2 linked regions of the Rhinolophus ferrumequinum genome follow. The protein of the gene in region 1 binds, or shares a complex with, the protein of each later gene. Links are inferred from orthologs where the notes say so. Each region holds a gene or a part of one and is shown on either strand. Other genes may lie near its edges.

Evidence for each region. The genes of interacting proteins can lie anywhere in the genome.
Region 2: INTS4 (region 1) and INTS12 share a complex: the UniProt entries of both Homo sapiens proteins name them as parts of the integrator complex. The link is inferred for Rhinolophus ferrumequinum from reciprocal best matches to the Homo sapiens genes INTS4 and INTS12.

The regions. Positions count from the first base shown.
Region 1 is NC_046294.1:52,164,644-52,175,663, reverse strand, and holds the start of INTS4 (integrator complex subunit 4), read left to right. Parts: upstream 1-6,953; 5' UTR 6,954-7,186; coding exon 7,187-7,240; intron 7,241-10,441; coding exon 10,442-10,636; intron 10,637-11,020. UniProt on the Homo sapiens protein: Component of the integrator complex, a multiprotein complex that terminates RNA polymerase II (Pol II) transcription in the promoter-proximal region of genes.
Region 2 is NC_046288.1:55,685,084-55,695,211, forward strand, and holds the start of INTS12 (integrator complex subunit 12), read right to left. Parts: upstream 4,164-10,128; 5' UTR 4,051-4,163; intron 1-4,050. UniProt on the Homo sapiens protein: Component of the integrator complex, a multiprotein complex that terminates RNA polymerase II (Pol II) transcription in the promoter-proximal region of genes.

The sequences.
Region 1 (11,020 bases):
TGCGGTAAAATACACAAACAGCCGGACCACTCACTCGAGGTGAAGTACGTATTGCCTCACCTGGTTTATTTAAGTAAACTAAATATATTTTTGGAATTTGCTGCAGGCCAATTAACAATGGATCACGGGCTGCAGTTGGCCCACCCCTGCTCTAGATGTACCGAACTGGTTGTTGCTGTTCTGCAGAATGATCACCTGGATGTGATCACCACTCATATCCTTTTCTTAATTTTTACACATGCCACTCCCATGAGCTATTTGTGCACAAAGCAGAGTGTGGAAAACACGGCAATTAAGGGGAGAGTCTACAATGCAAATAATTTCAAACTGAATATTGGACATATCTATTCTGAAAAGTGTTGTCAGTCACCCTCATCACTAGGGGCTTTTCACTAGTAGATTGTATTTGTTTCCTATTCCTTCTTCCCTCCCTGCACATTCCTGGAGGAATTCTTGCCATGCTTCTCTGCAGGTGGGAGTAATCTTCCCCATCCTGCTGACTTTGTGCTTGGCCTCATGACTGAATTGGGCCAATGGAATATGTGTGGAAGTGAGTGTGCCAGTTCCAAACAGGCTTTAGAGGCATGCCAAGTTTCTACCAGCCTTCTTGGGTTCTTGTCATTTGCCCGGAGAAGACCAAGTTCCAGTCTAGCTACCATTTTTTATTGCTTTGGCTCTAGCCTGCATCCCTTAGGACCTGATTCTCTTCCTAAGCAATTTACCAAACTATTTTATTAAACAAAGGCAAGTTCAATATCCCCCTCCAACTCCCTGTCCGTAATACAAATAAGATAACATATTATTTTTATCTCACTTAACTTATAATAGCAAATCAATTGGAAATAAGTCAGGTAAGTTATACTATTAGTTGGTGCAAAAGTAATTGCGGTTTTTACAATGATTTTTAACTTTTTAAACCACAATTACTTTTGCACCAACCTAATACATCTATACTGTGTTTCCCCGAAAATAAGACCTAGCCAGATCATCAGCTCTAATGCGTCTTTTGGAGCAAAAATTAATGTAAGTCCCAGTCTTAATATAAGACACAGTATAATATAATATAATATGATATGATATAATATAAATAATATATATAATGTATATAATATATATAATACCAGGTCTTATATAATATCAGACCAGGTCTTATATTAATTTTTTTTTGCTCCAAAAGACGCATTAGAGCTGATGATCCAGCTAGGTCTTATTTTCGGGGAAACACGGTATAATGCAATGTTATATAGCAACTAAAGTAATATTTATAGATGGCTTAAAATTATTAGAGAGGAGAATGCTCATTTAAGTCTATGCAATTTAATTAAATATTAACATCAAAAAGGATTTAAGGTGGCAGGGCTTACACGGTTATGGTGAAAAAATGTCCAGAAAGATATAAATTAGAAGTATATAAATTAAATGGACACTCTTGTTTGCCTACCCAATAATACCATCTCCTCCCTTCCCGTTTTTTAACAGAAAAAACAGAACAGTAAGACACAATAATATTTAAAATACTATATGTTCATTTGTAGGGGTAATGAGACTTTTCAGATCTGTTGGGATTAACTAAAGAAAATTATAGTCAGAGGGGGAAAACAAAATTGAATGCTAAGTATAACTGTCATTATAATCCATAGGAAAAACACAAAAAGAGTAAAACCTTTGATATTGCCCTCATAGAGATACCTTCATTCATAGCACTGTGCCAGGTTTTCAGGTCTACATTGTTTTCCTAGATTTTTCTTTTAAAATTACTGATTTTCCTCACCCTCTCCCACCCCTTCCCTATCCATTCTCTTCCTCTTTCTGCTGTCCTCAATGTCCTGGAAGTCTGATCCCTAGGTAGTGCATGCCCAAGTCCCTTCCTGGTTGGTCAGACTTGGAAAGTACAAGAGTGAAAGAAGGTCTGGGAAGTTGGTATGTGGATGGACCTCTTGGAATAGTGAAAATATTTGTGTTTGTTATGAATGCCCTTCAAAGGGTATCCATTCTAGAAGAGGCTCAATAAATAAATAAATAAATAAATAAATAAATAAATAAATAAATAAATAAACAAACGACACAATGATCCAACCTGTGGATATCATTCAACTTCTTTCCCTAGCTCCTCAATGCTTGCTCAATGGGGTCATGAAAAGCCACAATGGCAGAAATGGAGGCTATGCATAGGTTCTACAGTATAGACTTCCTCTCACCATAGATGATCAGGCAATTGATGGATGTCCAACAGCAGAGACTAAGCCCCTTAAATGGTATTTTTTGGTGGGGGGAGAGGGTGCATGGCTAGACACTTCGTGGGGTAGGTTGATTGCACTGCAAATTAGTTAGCTATACTGCTCTGTAACAAGTTGTGGGAAGAAATGTTGGTGTTTCTAAGCAAATGAAACTGACAGCTTTGTTTGCAATGGTGCTTCGGGGTCGGGAGCAGATTTACTTACATTATAGGGTAATAAAGTATAACTCTCCAATCCTGAAGACATTTCAGGGTAATAAAAAGCATCTCTCCCTGGGTTGTAAGGCAGACTTGTTTCCTAACCAGAGTGCAGGTTTGCTAACATTCGTCTTTTAAGATTGAGAGTTCCCTAAGCTGAGTATTCTTCACTGGTGTTAGAGATCTATCATGTGCATGGCATTCACCTACCTCACTCCCATGGATCTAGGGGGACACGGAGAACCAATACAAACACAAAGTTCATGCCACCTGCTATGCTGTGAATAATAAACTGTCTAAATAAATGTGGGCTTGTTGTCTCCTTACCAGCTGAATCTATGGAAGTGTGGCAAGTCGACTTGGCAATTTAGGGACTGTCTGACCACACGACAATCCCCTGACCCCCAACCTCAATGCCTTAAGACTACAACAATTAATTATGTCTCATAAGCCTACAGATTGGGCAGTTCTTCTGGTCTTGGGATCACTCATGAATCTGTAGTCAGATGGTGGATCAGCTAGGGTAGGGCTGGTCCAAGATGGGCTTAACTGGATCAACTTGGCTTTGTTCCATGTGGTCACTCACACTCCAGCAGACTAGGTGGGATTTATTCTCATGGCAATGGTAGGGTTCCAAAATCAAGCAAAAAGCCGGGGGAATTGGTATGTGGATGAACCTTGAGGCCCAGGCTCAAACCTAGCACACTGTCACTTTTGCTACATTCTACTGGCCATGCACAAGGCCAGCCCAATTCAAAGGTGGGGATATAGATTCCATCTCTTAATAGAAGCCGCTTCAAAGCTACATTTCAAGGGGTATGCATACCGAGAGGGGGAGAGCTGGGGCCATTTTTGTAGTCATTCTACTACACGCCGGATCCTTTCCATCAGGGAGGGAGTAGTGACGTAACCTCACAGGAATAGATACAGATTCAGATTTGACTTTCCTACTGCTATTGACTGAATGTTTGTGTCTGCCCCCACCCCTACCAATTCCTGTGTTGAAACCCTAACCATCAATGTGATGGTATTAGGAGGTGGGGCCTTTGGGAGGTGATAGGTCATGAGAAGAGCCCTCATGAATGGGATTGGTGTCCTTATAAAAGAGACTCCAGAGAGCTCCCTTGCCTCTTCTCCTATGTGAGGACATGTGAGAAGACAGCTATCTATGAACCAGGAAATGAGTTCTCACCAGACACCGAATCTACCTGCACCTTGATCTTGGACTTCCTCGCCTCTAGGACTGTGAGAAATAAGTTTCTGTTGTTTATAAGCCCCTCTGTGGTATTCTGTTAGAGTAGCCTAATATCTCTATACGTGTCCAACTGGTTCTGTTTTCCGGGAGAACCCTAACTCATATACCTAACTGCAATGTTTCTGTCAGCCCTACCATTCATGGATACCTAATTCATTTTCATAGTATATCACACATTGCTTCTGACTAAGGAGCTTATTTTATGGTGGAAGAATTTTAGCAAAGAAACTCATTGGTCTTTCCAGGTACCCCATCACTCAGATGTAGTTACTGTAATGAAAACAGTGTCATGACCTTTTTCAGACTCAGTTATGGTGCTAGCCGAGAGACAACACATTATGAGTTTGGGGTGCTGCCTTACAGGTTTGTGATATGCCTTCTACCAACCGCTAATACACAGTAGTTTCTCTCAGTTAGAATACATGGGCCTGGGAACTAGGGGGTGGAGGTAGGAGTGCTTCTTGACACTTTTACACCTAATAACTCATTTATGAATTCTTGGGTTCAGTGTTAGGAGTACTTAGTCCCCAAGGGAGGAACAGTTCCATTAAAGAACACAGTCATTGTTCTAGTATATTGGAACATGCAATGAGACTGCCCCTGCTCATTTGGGGCACTTCTTGCTGAGCCAACAGGCAGACAAGGGGATACACTTCCAGTCTGAAAGACTGACCCTAATTTCCAAGGGGAAATTGAGTTGTTGTTATACAATAGAGACAGAGAAGACTCTATTTGAAGCCCAAGGTATTCACTGGGGCACCTCATTGTATTCTCATATGCAATAATGAAGGTCCAAGGAAAATGTCATCGATTCAATAAAGACAGTTTTTCATTTCAAAATTAAAGAATGTGATTTCATTACGAGAAAAGAAATCTTAACAAAATAACACAAATGTGACAAAAAAAATTAAAGAATGTGGACTACTTTAATTTCTATACCAGTCTGGCCTCCGCTTCTCAATTTTACTTCTATCACTCCTCCCTGATAGAAGTAAAATTGAGAAGCGGAGGCCAGACTGGTATAGAAACTAAAGTGCATACTAAAGTGCACTAAAGTGTAATACTTTAGTTTCTATACCAGTCTGGCCTCCGCTGTATGCTCCCTGTATGCACTTTACTCTCATTATGAACTGAATTTCCTTTGGTTTCTCCGAGTGCGTCAAACTTCCTCCTAGGCCTCATATCTATTACTAATAATAACAATGATAAACTTTGTGTCATTAATGCTTAGCTGCACATTTAACATCTCTGAAACCAGGACATGTTTTAAGATTGCTGTTGGCCAGGTTTTCATGTGTAGATTGTGTCACAGCACTCCATGTTATCATTGCTTCAGCTGAGCTCTGTGTATGAGATACAGCTACTGTATCTCAAAAAGATGACCTTGCAACTTGCATTAAGAGTTTTTATGTGCACAGGAAGCATAGACATAGGATAGACAGCAGTATGACATAGGATAGAAATTTCCATCTAAATAGGTTTAAAAGAGCTCTTTTTTCAGGGGTGCAAAAAAAATGTACACATTTTAAGAGATGTTATTTATTACTTTTTGAAGTTGAATTGAATTACGGTAGTAGTATGTAGTATGATGTTCGCTTAAAAGATAGCGTTAATCAAATGAATGCTAGCATCATTCACTGTATTACAATTTTAATACAGTTTTTTCCTTTCTTAAAATGTGTATACATTTCTTTGGCACCCTCTGTATAACAAGCCTAAGCAATAAGAAACCATTATTTTTAATTTCAGAATTTTTTTCTTAATGTGTTGTACAAAATAATGGTTTGTTTTACAATTCCTGGCAGCTTAGATTTGATAGAACGTGGTAATAATAATATTAATAATAATAATGGCTGGTAACGTTTATTGAAGGCACTGTTCGCTAAGCGCTTTTCACTTCACTCAGTACATTTATATAATGTACTATAATGTACGTATATATAATGTAATATAATGTACCGTAATCTCTGTGGTCTGAGAAAATTTACGACAGGCATACCTCCTTTCACAATAAAGTGTTTCACTTTATTGTGTTCCGCAAATACTGCATTTTTACAAATTGAAGACCCTCCATCAGCAAAAAGATTGACTCGCCTAAAGGCTCCAATGATGGTTAGCATTATTTTACCAATAATGTATTTATTAACTAAGGTATGCACATTGTGTTTTTAAAGACATAATGCTACTGCACACTTAATAGACTACAGTATAGTATAAACATAACTTTTATATATGTACTGGGAAACCAAAACTTCATGTAACTCGCTTTATTGCAATATTCACTTTATTGCAGTGGTTTGGAACCACACCTGCAGTACCTCTGAGATATGCCTGTATTTTGAAGCCAGATTAAAAATCCTTCCCTTTGTAAAACTTCCCTGAGACATCCTGAAGAAGTTAGGTCTGTTTGAACCACATTCCTCTTATCCAGCACACTTTGGCTGCCCACTAATTATCAGCTTGGGTGTCTCTCCCCAGTTAGGCTACAGCACCTTGAGGGTAAAGACCATCTTTTAATGCATTTTTGGGTCTTCTGTACCTACTACAGCCTGCTGCTTTTTCTCAGCATCCCACATTAACTCTTTTCAAAGATGAAACAATGAACAGCTCAAGTTTAATCTAGGATGTAAAACTGAGCTTGGATTTATTAACACTACAACAGGAACCACACTTTACAGTCTGCAAACTATTTGTGCATTATCTCATTCCACTGTCACTAAATTTGTCAGGTTAGGTGTTATCTGCCCATTTGTAGTTGAGGCTACTTATTTATTAAGTGCCAGTTGTAGTATGAAGCTTCGTTGTTTGACCCTTGGCCTGGGGATTCTTTCCACTCTACCTCAGCTATCAGAGGAGGGGTTTATTCCCTAAAGGATGGGTAGATTTTGAACAACTGGAGTGAGGGAGCAGGAAAAAACACCCCAGGACAGAGTAGGGGTGGAGCACTGATTGGCCAAAAGGAAAGCTCAGGCAAGCTACGAGCAGCAAACACTATACACAGCAAAGGATGATGAGAACGTCAGCTCGGCCTCTTTCCGTTACCTCCCGAGTCAAGATAGTTACGCAGCTCCGGGTTTTACCTGTAGCACTGGCTCAACCCCGCCTCCGCCCTTTACCTGGTACTTTGTCCCACCCTCCGCTCCGTTCCGCGCCAGTCTCTCGAACCCTGAGACCACCACCAAGCCTCCGAAAGCTCCCATTGGCTCGCCCACTCGTTGAGTCCCGCCTCCTCCTCCCGAGGCCCCGCCCCCTCCGCTACGCTCTCTTTTCCGTTCCACCGGCTCCCGAGGCGTAGGCGGCCAAATCCTGCCGTACCGCGACGGGGCAGTCGAGCAGCCGGAAGTGGCCACTCTTTCTCGGAATCCCACTGCCTTGTGGGACCGTGGCCGGTTCCTCCGGCCTGAGCTAGTTTTCCGGGTTCCTTCAGCCCGCCCCCTTCCCTTCACTCCCCCGCCTTCCTCGTCAAGTACGGAAGCTGAGAAGGTCCGCTGGCAGCCATGGCGGCGCACCTTAAGAAGCGGGTGTACGAGGAATTCACTAAGGTGGTTCAGGTAAGCTCGGGAAGGAAAGGTCCTGGGACCGATCCGGGCAGCGGAAGATTAAATACACGTCAGGCGCTTTGCTGGAACAAACTTGGGTTGAGCGCCTATTACTTTGATAGGCTCTCTGGGACTACACTTTAGTGGGCGTGTTCATTTGTCCCTATTCTTGTTATTATGATTAATATGTGCAGTCTTGATACTTTTTTTTAATTATTAGAAGAAACAAATAGCGCTTTACCATTTACGGAAATAACCGTTATTTTATTCAGGTTACATTAATATCCTCGTTTTACGGATGTGGATTTAGCTTCTGGAGGGGTCGAGGACAGAGAGCCAATTAGTGGCAGAGCCCCTCCCAATTCCTGTTGCACACACACACACACACACACACACACACACACACTTTCCCAGGGACAAGTTGGTTGTACTCAAAGCTCTCGGGATGGAAGAGGAGTCTGTAGAAATTCTTAAGACCCAGTCAAAGCAGGCGTGGGTCACAAGCTTCATTGGGGTAGAACTCTTCCATTGGTGGTGGGCAATACCTTCTTCCATTGGAGTTAAGGACCGGTGTGCCGAGCCCTTGACAGAGCACTCAGTGCTTCTCCATGTGTCTCCTTGTAGATGTCGCTAAAGTAGAAGTTGATCCTAAGTCATTCCATGTGTCGTGCTCCTTAGACTTATGTGTATACAAATCACCTGGGGAATCACATTAAAATATAGCTTGTACGCAGTAAGTCTGGCAGTGGAGGTGAGGCAATCTGCATTTCTGACAAGCCCCCAATTGATACTAGTTGATCAGCAGCATCCTTAGAGCCACAGACCACCCTTAATTCTTCTACTTGTAGAGTAGCAGGACTTAGACCATCCAGAAGGAACTGATCCTTAAACCTTTCATTCATTCCTTCAACAAGAGTTTATTGAGTGAATGAGTGGTTACTATGTATCAGGTATGATGAATACATTGAGCTACAGTGTCCAATACACGTGAGGGTCCTTCTTTAGGAGCTCACAGTCTAGTAAGAGAGAGAACAGCATATCATATATGTGATTCGTACTACAGAGAGATAATTGCACTGACAAATCAAGTCATCCTTCTACTTTTGCAGCTCCGTTTCCTAAAAACTCCCCAGCCAAACTCCCAGCCCTTCTTGATTTGACAGTATACCCTCCAGCTGTATCCCTTCCTTTCTTTTTTGTTTTGTGGACGCATCTTTGTAGCACATTCCCATTGTCTGTAGGGAAGTTAGTTTGCCTTATTCTTGTTTTTGCTTATAATAACTTTGAGATTTAACTTTGACACTTTTTTGTTGCCCTTTTTAATGTGAAATTAGTTTTCTGAATTTTTAGAATGAGTCAAGATTTAGGATAGCGTTTTCTAACTTCACAGAGCTCCCTCTTCTGTGGCTTGCTTTCTGGGATTTCCTGGCTTTGTTTCCCTTGACATCCTCCCCTTTTTTTTTAAATTGTTATAAAATATACATAAATAAAATTTACTGTTTTAACCAGTTCTGGTGTTAAGTACATTAACATTGTTGTGCAGTGTAATTTTTTTTGGAAACATTTTGTTGTTCCCACTTCTCAAGACTACTCATCCCTCCTCCAACATGCCATGTGTTTGTACCTCTCCAAACTTGTGTATCTATTGTCTCTTTTGCATAGAATGGATATCATTCTTCCCTTTCTTTTTTTTCTCCACCCAGTGGACTTATATTTTTGCTTCAAAAATATCAGTTGGGCTCAAGACCCAACTGAAACCTGAGCAAGAGTTTAGTCTCTTCCCTACTTCTACGGCACTCTGTTGTACTCATCTGTTTCTACTTATCACTCAGTACTACTACTGTGATTACCAGTATACGTATTTTCCCACTAGTCTGGGCTCTTTGAGGGCAGAGATAATGCCTGAGGGTTCATCCCTGTCACCCCTGGATAGACCATAGGGTCTGGCTCACTAAAATGTCATTGATGGTTGGTTGATTGCAGATGTTGGTTTGTCTGTCCTTTTACATACTCTCTAGGGAAAAAATCTTTCCCAGCTTTTGATCTAATTGCAGCCTGGATAAGACTGAAGACTGAATGTGTGGAATAGGATGGAAATGGGTAAATGGTTATTGAACCCAAATTCCTCTGACTTCAGAACTCCAGGTCTTTTTATCATGTCATATCATGTTGCTGTCTAGCATAATCCTAATCTCTTCTCGGTAGAAGGGTAAATTTGTAAGGAGGTAATTGCTTAGAATATGAAAATGATGTCAAGTGTTAAGGAAAATTATTGATTACAACATTTATCTTATGTTATGATCCCCTCTATACCTACCCACTAGGGCCTGACTTAAACCCCAGAGTGACAGGTTCCCTTTTACATGAACTTTTTGGGACTCATTATATGTAACAAATGCACCTAGAATGTTTCTAGTTCTGTACCACCCTTTGGGGATAGAGAAATAATTACTCAAATAATTTTATGTGTTCTGTGGTTCAGATGAGAATCCCTGGTTGAGAAAGGTAGGTGTCGTCATCCCCATTTTACAGATGATAATACTGAGAATCATGACTAACTTAGAACAGAGCAGCATTCCAAGTCAATCATTCAGTAAACATTTATTAAGTGGCTACAGTTTGCTAGGCCTACGGCAGTGTATTTTTTTCCTACACTGACCATCTTTTTAATAAAGGCAGAATGATTTGGGGGAAGCTAGTCATCTGGAGTGAGGGAAAGATTTTTTTCCTCAGTGTAAGCTGCAGACAGTTCCCATCAGTTCTGTTTTTCTCTGGAGGGAAGCTGAGCCTGGTGGGTGCCACAGCACAGCCTGAATACATTTGTAGAATTGGTATTTCTAGCAAAGAATGGAGCTGATTCTTTGTGTGTGTGGCCTCTTAACCCTAAAGCTACAACAATTCTAAGAGATAGGCAGAACAAAATGTTAATGGACCTACTTTACAAAGAAAGAAAATGAGACCTGGAGATATTAAATGACTTGTCCAAAGTCATGGGAGCTAGTGAAAAGCAAACTTGGGACTCGTAGCCTTGTCTCCAATCCAGTGCTCTTTGTCCAGTTCATAGCGCTGCTTTTTCCTAAGACTAGGTCTATTGCCTAAATACGTTATTTGGTGTAAAGGAACACTGTTTCCATCAAATGAGATAAAGTTAAATGGGCAGACTCTCTGTTTTCCGTTAGGTTTTCATGCCTTATCTTCTTTATCCCCTTGCAGCAACAACAGGAGGAAATTACTGCTAAGAAACTCCGACTGACAAAACCAAGTAAATCTGCAGCTCTCCATATAGATCTGTGTAAAGCTACGTCCCCAGCAGACGCTTTGCAGTACCTACTTCAGTTTGCCAGGAAGCCTGTTGAGGCAGAAAGTGTGGAGGGAGTAGTCAGGATTCTCTTGGAACATTATTACAAGGTAAGAAGGTCTTGAGGACCTGGTGGGAGTATGTGTAAGTTGTACCATATCTGCAGAATGGGTTCATATTGCAAAATAAGGAAGATGTTCATGCAGCAGTCTTTTACTGGGTGTCTCCTGTGTGCTAGGGACTGTGGATACAGAGATACAAAAAGACCCAAATCCTGTCCTCAGAAGCTTGTAGTGCCCAGATGGAGACAGATACAAACAATAAGATGATATGAACGGTTGTGTTGCTGAAGATACTGTGACTACAGTATGTACAGTGGGAGCAAAAAGGAGGAGTAAACTTCAATCATGACCTTTCTTTCATCAAATTTGTCTCTGGAATGTAGTGCTGTCAACCTGCTGTTACTGCCCTAATTCAAGGCCCTAATATGTAAC
Region 2 (10,128 bases), on another chromosome or scaffold:
AAGCAAGAGTGCTTTCAGTTTTCTGTACATCCAAATCCAAGTCTTAAGTCCAGGTAAGTTCCTCCCTACCACAGAGCCTCCTCCTAACTCCATTTTAAAATACACACTTACAGTTTAGTACCCATGAACTTGATGTGCTTAGGTCAAGTTTACTATATATTAAAATGTCTTCTCTCAAAATTATTTCCACGGCAGAAAAAAGATGATTTAGTGTGGGCGATAGGGTATCACAGGAGGGCAATGGTTAGAGGATGCACTAGTGATGAGCCGTAGAAAAGATTTCAGGTGCACAATTCTGTAATATATCATCTATATCTCACATTGCGTGCTCACCACCCAGAGTCAGTTCTCTTTCCATCACCATATATTAGACCCCATTTACCCTCTTCTAGAGCCCCACTCCCCCCTCCCTCCTTACCCTCTGGTAACCCCTAAACTATTGTCTACGTCTATGAATTTTTGTTCTTTCAGTTGTTTGTTGGGTTCCTTTGTTGTTTTCGGTTTATATCCCACATATCAGTGAAATCATATGCTTTTTAAATTTTTCTGTCTGACTTATTTCACTTAGCATTATAATCTCAAGATCCATCCATATTGTCACAAATGGTCCTATTTCATCGTTTCTTACCACCGAATAGTATTCCTCCATGTATATATACCACAACTTCTTTATCCATTCATCTATCGAAGGACATTTTGGTTGTTTCCATGTCTTGGCCACCGTAAATAAAGCTGCAATGAACACTGGAGCACATATGTCTTTATGGATAAATGTTTTCAGATTTTTTGGGTATACCCAGGAGAGGGATTGCCAACAACTCAATATAAACTTTTCACATTGTTACATCATTTTACATAACTTTCTGCCAAGCTCTCTCTACTGGGTGATGGTCTTTTATGTTTACTGTGTGTTTACTTTCTCACAGAATACTCCATTACAATAGAAAGTTTGTTTTTTTGTTCACTGATGCTTTCTCAGTACGCACGTTAATGACACAGACTGGGCATTCATAAAGATGTATGGAGTGAAGGAATTCCCACGTATAATTCCCTTATACTTAGACAATGCGGAAAATTAGTCAAGTTCATAAAAGCAATAAAAATAAATAAAAATAAAAAAATATTTTCACTTCTCACTATCCAAAGGTTAAAGAACAAGATTTTTAACAAGGTCTCTAATGCCCTACATGATCTGGTAATACATGTAAAGCAGTTACAACAGTTCCTGGCACAGAGTATATACTCATTAAATGTTACCTAGTGTTTCGCGCTATTCCCACTCTCTTTGTTGTAGCTGCATGAAATTATTTCAAGTCTTTCAACATATCTTTCTTACCTCAGCATTTTAGTAGAAAATGTCCCATTCCTCATCTTATTCATTCTTCAAGTCTCATTTTCTTTCTGCACATATTCTTACTATTATATGGTCCCAAAACATCCTTATTTGTAACACACTTATTTGTAATAGTTACTGCACTGTTAACTAAGTAAACAGTATCTGTCTTTCTCACTAGAATGTACATTTCTAGAATGAGGGCCAGCAATGGATTGGTCTTACTTACTGCTGTGACCATGTGTCTAGCACCGTGCCTGGCAGATAGTACGTACTATATAAATGTCCGCCAAGTGAATACATGTTATCTACTTCCCTTTTCTAAGAACCTTCTCCTCCTTAAGTTCTATCACATTCAGCTTTTCTGTTTTTCCTCATATCTCTGACTATCGTTTCTTTGGCTCATCTTCTCATCACTGTTGTTCTTGGTATTGCTCAAGTATCTGCCCTTGTCTATCGTCATTAGTTGTGGTGCCAATTTCTTCCCAGGTAATCTGATGTATATCACGTTTTCAACTATCATCTCTAGGCAGATAGTTTCACGTTTATCCCCACTCTCATCTCTCTTAAACTCGAATCCCACATACTTGCTTAATAGACACATCGGCCTGATTGCCCTAATAGTATCTCAAGTTAAATTATGACTAAAATTGAGATTATGAATATCTTCCCCAAAAGTTCCCTGTCCTATAACTTTTTTAAAATAAATGACACAACTCTCTATTAGTCAGGTCTAGAGCCGACATCTATCCCTCACTGAGTCCTCCTCTATTCCTTATATACAAACTATCAGCAGGCCTTTCCTGTGAATTGTGGCTCTGGAACATTGCTCACATTTACACCGTTTTTCACCTCTACTGCTACTATTCAAGTTGAGATCTTTGTGAGCTTTTTCATACTATAGCAATAATCTATTTTAACACTGTTGACTGGAACACCATTGCCATATTAATGCTCCTGTAACACATTTTTCTTTTCCTTTTTAAATGTTCTTCCTCAAAAATTAAGGCTTCCCACTGCCTTCAAAATAAAGCCCAATCTCTCGGCCTGGATTTTAAGAAGATTCATCAACTGGCACAAAAATTGTAATTCTTCATCTTGATTTTCCTCACAGCAGAGCCATTAGCTGGCTTTGCCCCGTCTACTTATTTATTTTTTTCTCTGTCTGAGAAGCTTTTTAAACCATTTTTTAGATTTCCAACTCCGATCAAGGCCTAGTTCAAACATTACTTCTCAGGAGGATTCTACTCACAGCTGGTATGTCCTTTCCCACCCCAAATACTACTAATAATCTTTTCCTCCTAGGATGTCTTGTAGTGCTTTCTCAAGGTACTGGGGACTTTCTACCTTGAACCATACATATTTTTTTTATTTTTATTTTGCACAAGTATTATATACCCTATAAAAGTCTTAAGTATTTTATGGGCAGGGTCTATATTTATCTTTTTGCCTATCACTATGTTACTTTGCAAAGAACCACAAAATAATGGCTATAAAATTATTAAGCAATCAAAGTATAATGGCCTTTTCTCTTCTACATAATTTTAACCACTTCCAAAGCCCTTTCACAAAAAGCAACAGAAAAGCAATTCAAATCTATCATTGCCCCACCTTCCATCCCACCCCCAAATCCCTAAACATAAAAAAAAAAAAAAAAAAAGGAAACCGAAAACAGGTCTTTCATGACCAGGGACCTGTACAATGTTCCTATCTGCAAAGCATGCTTCCCAATCCTTCATCTGGTTAAAATTCATTAATCCCACTGAATTGTAAACTCCATGAGAGCAGGGGCTTTTTTTTTTTTTAAATTCACAGGTATATACCTAGAGTTTGGAACTGGATGGGTATTCAAACATATTTATTGAGGTTTTTGTTGAAATAACACTTTCTAGGGCTTTTGAGATTCTCCAACCTAAATTGGGTCTTCATATATAAATATATGCTTTCCCCTAGATCCTGTTTTCCACCCTACGTGCCAATCTTAAAAGAAGCCCAAAGTTGATCATCTGCATGTGCAGGACATGAAGGAAATATTGCACGCAGAGTGCAATATTAGGGCTGTCACCTCATAACGGCTCTAGTAAGCTTTGCCTTTTATGTCTTTGCAAGCTCTTGCAATGCTTTCTAATAAGCATCCTTTTAAAGATGCTGCTCTTTTCATTCCTCCACTTAGATGTTGGCCTGGGCTATATTGATACCCTAGGGACTCGTCTGGAAACGCAGGGGAGGCAGAAGGACCCCGATTCTAAAACAACGAAATGTCAGAGAACCTGAAAAGCGACAGCAGACTAAGCAGACAGCGACTAAGAAAAGGAATTCCCATCCTTTGATCAAAGCCTGACACACCGTAGGCCTAGCACGGGGGATGCTCCTTGAGAGGGAGCCCGAGAGAAGCTGAGACAGGAAAGAGCGAGCTGTACAGAGAAGTCGCCAAAACCTTCTCAGGAAGGTCCGAGACAGGGATCTCAGGACCTAGCCCCTGGGACTGTGTCCTCCGTCCGAGTGCCCCAGCTCGCAACACCCTCGGAGGACGCAGAGACCTCAATGAAAGGGAAGAGCGGTCAGCCTGGGGCGCGGGATCGCCCGCAAATTACGAGGTTTCCCCATAAGGGCTGAGGAAACTAAGACCCCACGGAACTATTCTCCCACCACATCCCTCGCGGAGGTCTCGAGCCTCCCAGAGGCGGCTGGGAGGAGGGTCGCTCGTCACAACTCACCGCTCCGCCCCGCTACTCCGTAGGTTCCCGTAGCCCCTTCCGAACCGGTCCCGGCACCAGTCCGCTCTGAGAGGTTCCCGCAGCAGAGTCGTGGGGGAAAACTTTCTCTGCGCCACGGTCGGAAGTGACGTAACCCCCTCTGCTTCCGGTCCGCCGGATTATGAATGACGGCCGGCGCGGCTCTTTCTCGGACGAGTTGTCTGTTGTTTCTCTGCCAGTCTGGTAGCCAGTGGTCCGCTGGCGAAGACTCCAGAAGCGGCCTCGGAATCCGGGCTCTAGCGGGACGGGAAGGCGCGGGCGGCCCGTGTCGCCGATGCGAACACGCACCCTCACCCTCCCTGCTTGGCCGCGTCTCTGCGACCAGGTAAAGAGGGCGCTGGGGCCGCCGGCTCCACAGTCCCCGCAACCCCCAAGGCTACTCTTTGCATCCAGGGGAAACAGGACTGACGATGCAGGGATAGGACAGAGGCGTGGAATTAGGGTCCTGATCTCTCTCCGGCCCCTCTTTGGCCACAGCTTCTGAGGGTGCAGGTAGAGGGCCCGGGGCCCCTTAGTTTCCCAGGGCCAATCCCCAGTGGCTTCCTCTGCTGATGGGGGCAACGGAGCAGCTTCTAGTTGTAGGAGTAAGTGGGGGATCGTTTGCGGTTTGCTGCTAAGACCTCTTGGATCACGCTTTAACTTTTTCGTTTTCTTTTTGGCACTTAGTTTTCCATTTCAGCCCTTCCTGATTAGAGAAAGCAGTTCTATGTGCATACAGTTTTAACAGTTGCTCCAAAGGACTTGCTTCAGTTTGGGCTATTTGCTTCTGTCGCACCATCAGTGAGTGTTTCACTTCGGTTTTCAACTTCTGTAGAAAGTTTGAGTTTAACTTGCATTAGAATTGCTTTGGGTTCAGAAACGTTTACTAATACACGTACTTTCCATCCCAGCTCTATACCTGGTTTTGGGATTAGATGACATTTTTTTTTCTCTTATTCTTAATGCCAGGATCTCTTAATGCCAAGATCCCATTCCCTGTCGTAAGTTCTTGAATGTCAAGGAAATGCCAGCAGTTAATAGGAATATATCTTGTGCTAAATTATTGATAAAGAAGGTAGAGTACTACTTTTGTGAGCTTATCTATAGAAAGTATTTAAAGGAGAAAATGCAAAAGCTGGCAAGAACTACTGATGTGACCATTTTAAACGTGTAAACATGATCATTTAAATATTGTAAAAATAAATTGTTATAAATACAATGGAGTGATTTTCTGTCATATTTAATAAATCAAAACATTAAACTATGCGAGTTTTTTTTTTTAACTTCTTGGTGGGGAATATACACTACTGAGGATTGCCTTAGGCGTACTCATCATTTGAAATTGTGTTTGAGTTATACCTGAAGGCATCATTTTAATAGGTCTCACTTAAAAAATAAGTTTGTGAAAAAATCAGTGAGATTTGAGAACCTTTTTAGCAATTCTTTTGTTATTCGTTTTACACTTTTACTACTTGTTTCCCTCCTTTAAACAAAGCTCAAACTTCTGTAGTGAGCCTATCAAGATTTTTTTTAAACCTGTGTTTACTTTGTAGCTTTTGTATCACCTGTGATTTGAAATAATAAATACTGAGTATCTGCTTGGCCTTTCAAACAGCAACAATTTAGCAGACCTTGAAACTTAAATTCTGACGCCAGTCAACTGAAATATCCGTGTTACACACAGTTCTTTAGTGTATGTTGTTTTTATCTTCAAGTATTCAAAGTAGCTTACTGAATTTTGTTATAATTAGTACATGAAATGCAATGATTTAAACCACTTAACATCATAACAAGCACAGGTATTGTTTGCTGTGGGGATTCAGTAATTTTATTTCAGGCTTGCTGATGTTTCTAACATGTTAGCACTTCATTTTGTGAATCCCTGTTAATTATGAGGTCAGGCTTAGCTACGAGCATTATGATTCTAGGGCAACAGATGAATCCCTGATTCTCCAGAGAGAAGATGAGACACTTCTCTTATGACTAAGGTTACAGTAAGCTTTTTACTTTTAAGCATTTTTCCCACTACTTGCCCAGATAAGAAAACAGCTAATTTTAATTATAGTAATGTAATGAGCACAGAAATACCTCAGTTCTTTTTCTCTTTGCTTTGTTAACTGTCAGTATTAAAGTAGTTAGCTGCTGTCTAACTCTGTAGGGGCAGGGTATTTTTGTGTCTTTTTTTTTTTTTTTAATCTTTATTGTAAGAAAATAGAGTGAGCTTTGCTACCAAATAGTGTTATTTTGTGAAATGTATAAAACACAAGCTAAGTTCTAATATCCATAATGTTGAGCATTTGATATAGTAGGGAACTTAAATGGGTTTAAATTTAAGTTCTAATCTCTAAGAAAAATAAGAGTCTATAATTTTTCCTTACCTGTAAACTGTTCAGCTATTTATTTTGTACAATATAAGCAGTTGATATGCATGCGAACTTAGGGATTCACATTTATTTCTACCATTTTGTGTCTCCCTGGATTTCAGCCTCAGTAACAGATTTTTTTTCAGTGTTTGGGGGGAATATCTTTTCCATTCAACATGAACTCGTTACCTTTCCAGAAAAGAAGTTTGGCAATATAAAGCATAATTTGGGGCTTCCCATCAAAATTTGTGCATTTTAAGAGTGCCAATGGATAGGGAATTTGGGGATACATTATAAATGAATGATAATAATAGCAAATTTTTATTTAGGGGCTTATGAATGTAATAGGCATTGTTCTGTTCTTATAGCACACTACATGGTAAATACTGTTATTATTGTCCCCATTTTATAAATGGGAAACTAAGGCACAGAAAAGTTTTCTATTGCTACAAAATCTCAGGACCAGGATTTGAATGTGGATAGTTAGCTCCAGAGTCTAGGCTCTTATTCGCTACTTTATAATTCTTGGTATATTAATATTCTACTTGCTAAGTAAGTATACAGAATCTAGTTAGATTCCTAGTTCTCTTGTGTGAATATCGATATACATAAAAACATCTATGCTTGCTTTACTTACCTGTTTCGATGGGATTCTATTTATTCTTTTTCCAGTTCAGCTCACAGAAGTGATCTCTTTTCTTCATTTTAATTTACACATAGATGGCTCTTAAAATAGATTTATTCATCTGGAAGAGAAAGAATGGTTTCAAGAAGATTGGGGTTCATGTACCAAGACTACAGTTCTCAATGGTACTCTCATTACAGTGATTACTGATACTCATTTATGTACATTCAGTTATTTATTCATTGGGGATGTAATGTCAGGTAATAAGTGCCAAAAAGTAAAAGAAGCAGGATAAGGGGCCAGTGACTGATGGGAGTGCTTTTTCAATTCAGGTTGTCAGGAGAGGCTGCTCTGAGTTAATATTCAGAGACCTCAATGAATGAAGGAGCAAACCATGTGAATATCTTGAAGAAGAACATTCTATGCAGAGGGGACAGCAAGTACAAAAATTCTCAAGTGGAAGTATCCCTGGCATCTTCCAAGAACAGCAAAAGAACTGGCTGGAGAGGAGTGAGCAAGAGGCAGGAGGGGTAGGAGGTCAGAAAAGAAGACAGCTGGGGTCACGTTACGTCTCATAGGCCATAATAGGAAATTTTGATTTTCTCCTACGGTATGTGTGCTGGGAGCCATTGGATGGTTGTGAACAGGGGGTATGATCTGATTTATGTTTTTAAAGGATCACCCTGACTTGTTGAAGCATTGACTGTTGTGTGAAGGGTGGAGGAAAATAGTTAATAGGCTTTTGCAGTGGTCTTTGTAAGAGCTGATGATGACTTAGGTTAAGGTGAAGGTGATAGTCATAGAGATGCCAAGATGTTGGATTTAGCATATATTTCAAAGTTAGAAATAGGTTATGAGAGAGAAGAAAAGACTTCGGAGTTACAGGCCTGAGCATCTGACTGTGTGGTGTTGCCATTTTGCCAAAAAGTGGACTATAAAGGGAAGAGGAACGGGTTTAGAAAAATGTCCACATTGAGATGTCAAGTATGATACAGAATTCAGAAGTTCTGGAGAAAGGACGTGGAAGAGATAAATGTAAGAATCATAGATGATATTTAAACCTATGGCACTAGAGATCACTTAGAACAAAGCTATTATATTGTTGAGTTGTTGGGTCATGAAATCAACTTAGTGAGTATTAACTAGTATTAAAAACAAGAAGAAAGAAAAAGCAACAAGTGAACAATATTGGATATATCCCATGCAGTGGGGTTGTTTTTTTTTTTTATATTTCTTTCATTTTTGTTTTATTCAATATATAATGAGTTGCATTATAAAACATTTTTTATTGTGTGGCATGATCAAAATTTTGAAAGCCAGTGCTCAAAGGAGTGAATGTAGATGGAGAATAGGGTCAAGCAATGAGCCAAGGGTCACTAAGAGGTCCGAGAAGGATCCAGTAATGGAAAACAGAAAGGAACTCTCAAAGCACTTCATCCAATGCTGAGATGGTCAAATACCCCTGCCTTTAGAACAGAGGTTTTTATCAAGGATTACTAGGACCAGCACAATTGCTTAGAAGACCATAATTTCTGATGATTTTCACTTTGGTGAAATTGTGTGTTATGTGCTATTGAGTCAGCTCTGACTCCTGGTGACCCTATGAATGAGTGACATCCATCATGTCCTGTCCAACAGCACCACTCAGCTCCTGGAGACTCAGGCCTATGGCTTCTTTTATAGAGTCAATCCCTATTATATTTGGTCTTCCTCTTTTCCTGCTGCCTTCTACTTTCCCGAGCGTTATTATCTTTTCCAAAGAACTGTGTCTAATGCAGGGCCGCTTCAGTTTTACCACTTTTACCTCCAGAGATGTTTCAAGCTTAATTTGCTCTAGGACCCACCTGTTCATCTTCCTGGCAGTCCTGGGTATCTGTGGAGCTCTCCTCCAACACCATATTTCCAATGAATCCTCCCCTCGCCCCCATCCACCTTCTTTACTGTCCAACTTTCACATCTGTACATTGTAATTGAGAATAACACGATGTGGGTGATCTTACTTAGTCTTGGTCTCTAATGACTCATCTTTGCTCTTCGAGATCTTTTGTAATTCTTCCATTGCTGTCTTTCCAAGTCTCAGCCTTCTCTTGACTTTTATTTTTTAAGATTTGTATTAAAATATAGCTAACCTACAATATTATCTTAATTTTAAGGATACACAATAGTTATTCGACATTTATATACCTAAAGCCCTGACCACCAAAATCCAGCAGCCATATGACATTGTATCACACTATCAAAATATTACTGACTATATTCCCTATGCTGTACATTACATCCCCATGACTTATTTGTTTTATACCTGGAAATTTGAACCTCTTATTTCCCTTCACCTTTCCCCACTCCCCTTTTTAAATTTTTCAATTATAATTGATGTTAAATATTATTTCATATTAATTTCAGGAGCACAGCATAATGGTTAGTCATTTGCATAATTTACGAAGTGATCCCCCTGCCTAGTCTAGTACCTACCTGGCACTATACATAGTTATTACCATATTATTGACTATCTTCCCTGTGCTGTACATCCCCATGACAGTTTTGTAACTACCAATTTGTGCTCCTTAATGCCTTCCCTCTTTTTCACCTTTCTCCCCATCCCCTTCCATCTATCACCTCCAAAAATCTAGTACCTATAGGACACCATACATAGTTATTACAATATTATTGACTATATTCTTATGCTATACCCTACATCCATGTGACTACTGTATAACAACAAATTTCTACTTTTTAATCCCTTCCCCTTTTTCACCTACCCTCAACCCTCCTCCCATCTGGCAACCATTAAAATGTTCTCTGCATCTATGAGTTTGTTTCTCTTTTATTTATTTATTTTGTTCTTTAGATACAATATATATAATTCTACACAAGAAATCACATTGCATCTGTTTTTCTCTGTGTGATATTCAGGTCTATCTATGCTGCTGCAGATGGCAAGAATCCATTCCCTTCCCTGGCTGAGCAATATTCCAATGTGTATATGTACCACCTCTTCTTTATCCTTTCATCCATTGATGGACATCCAGGAGGCCTCCATGTCTTGGCCATTGTAAACAATGCTGCAATGAA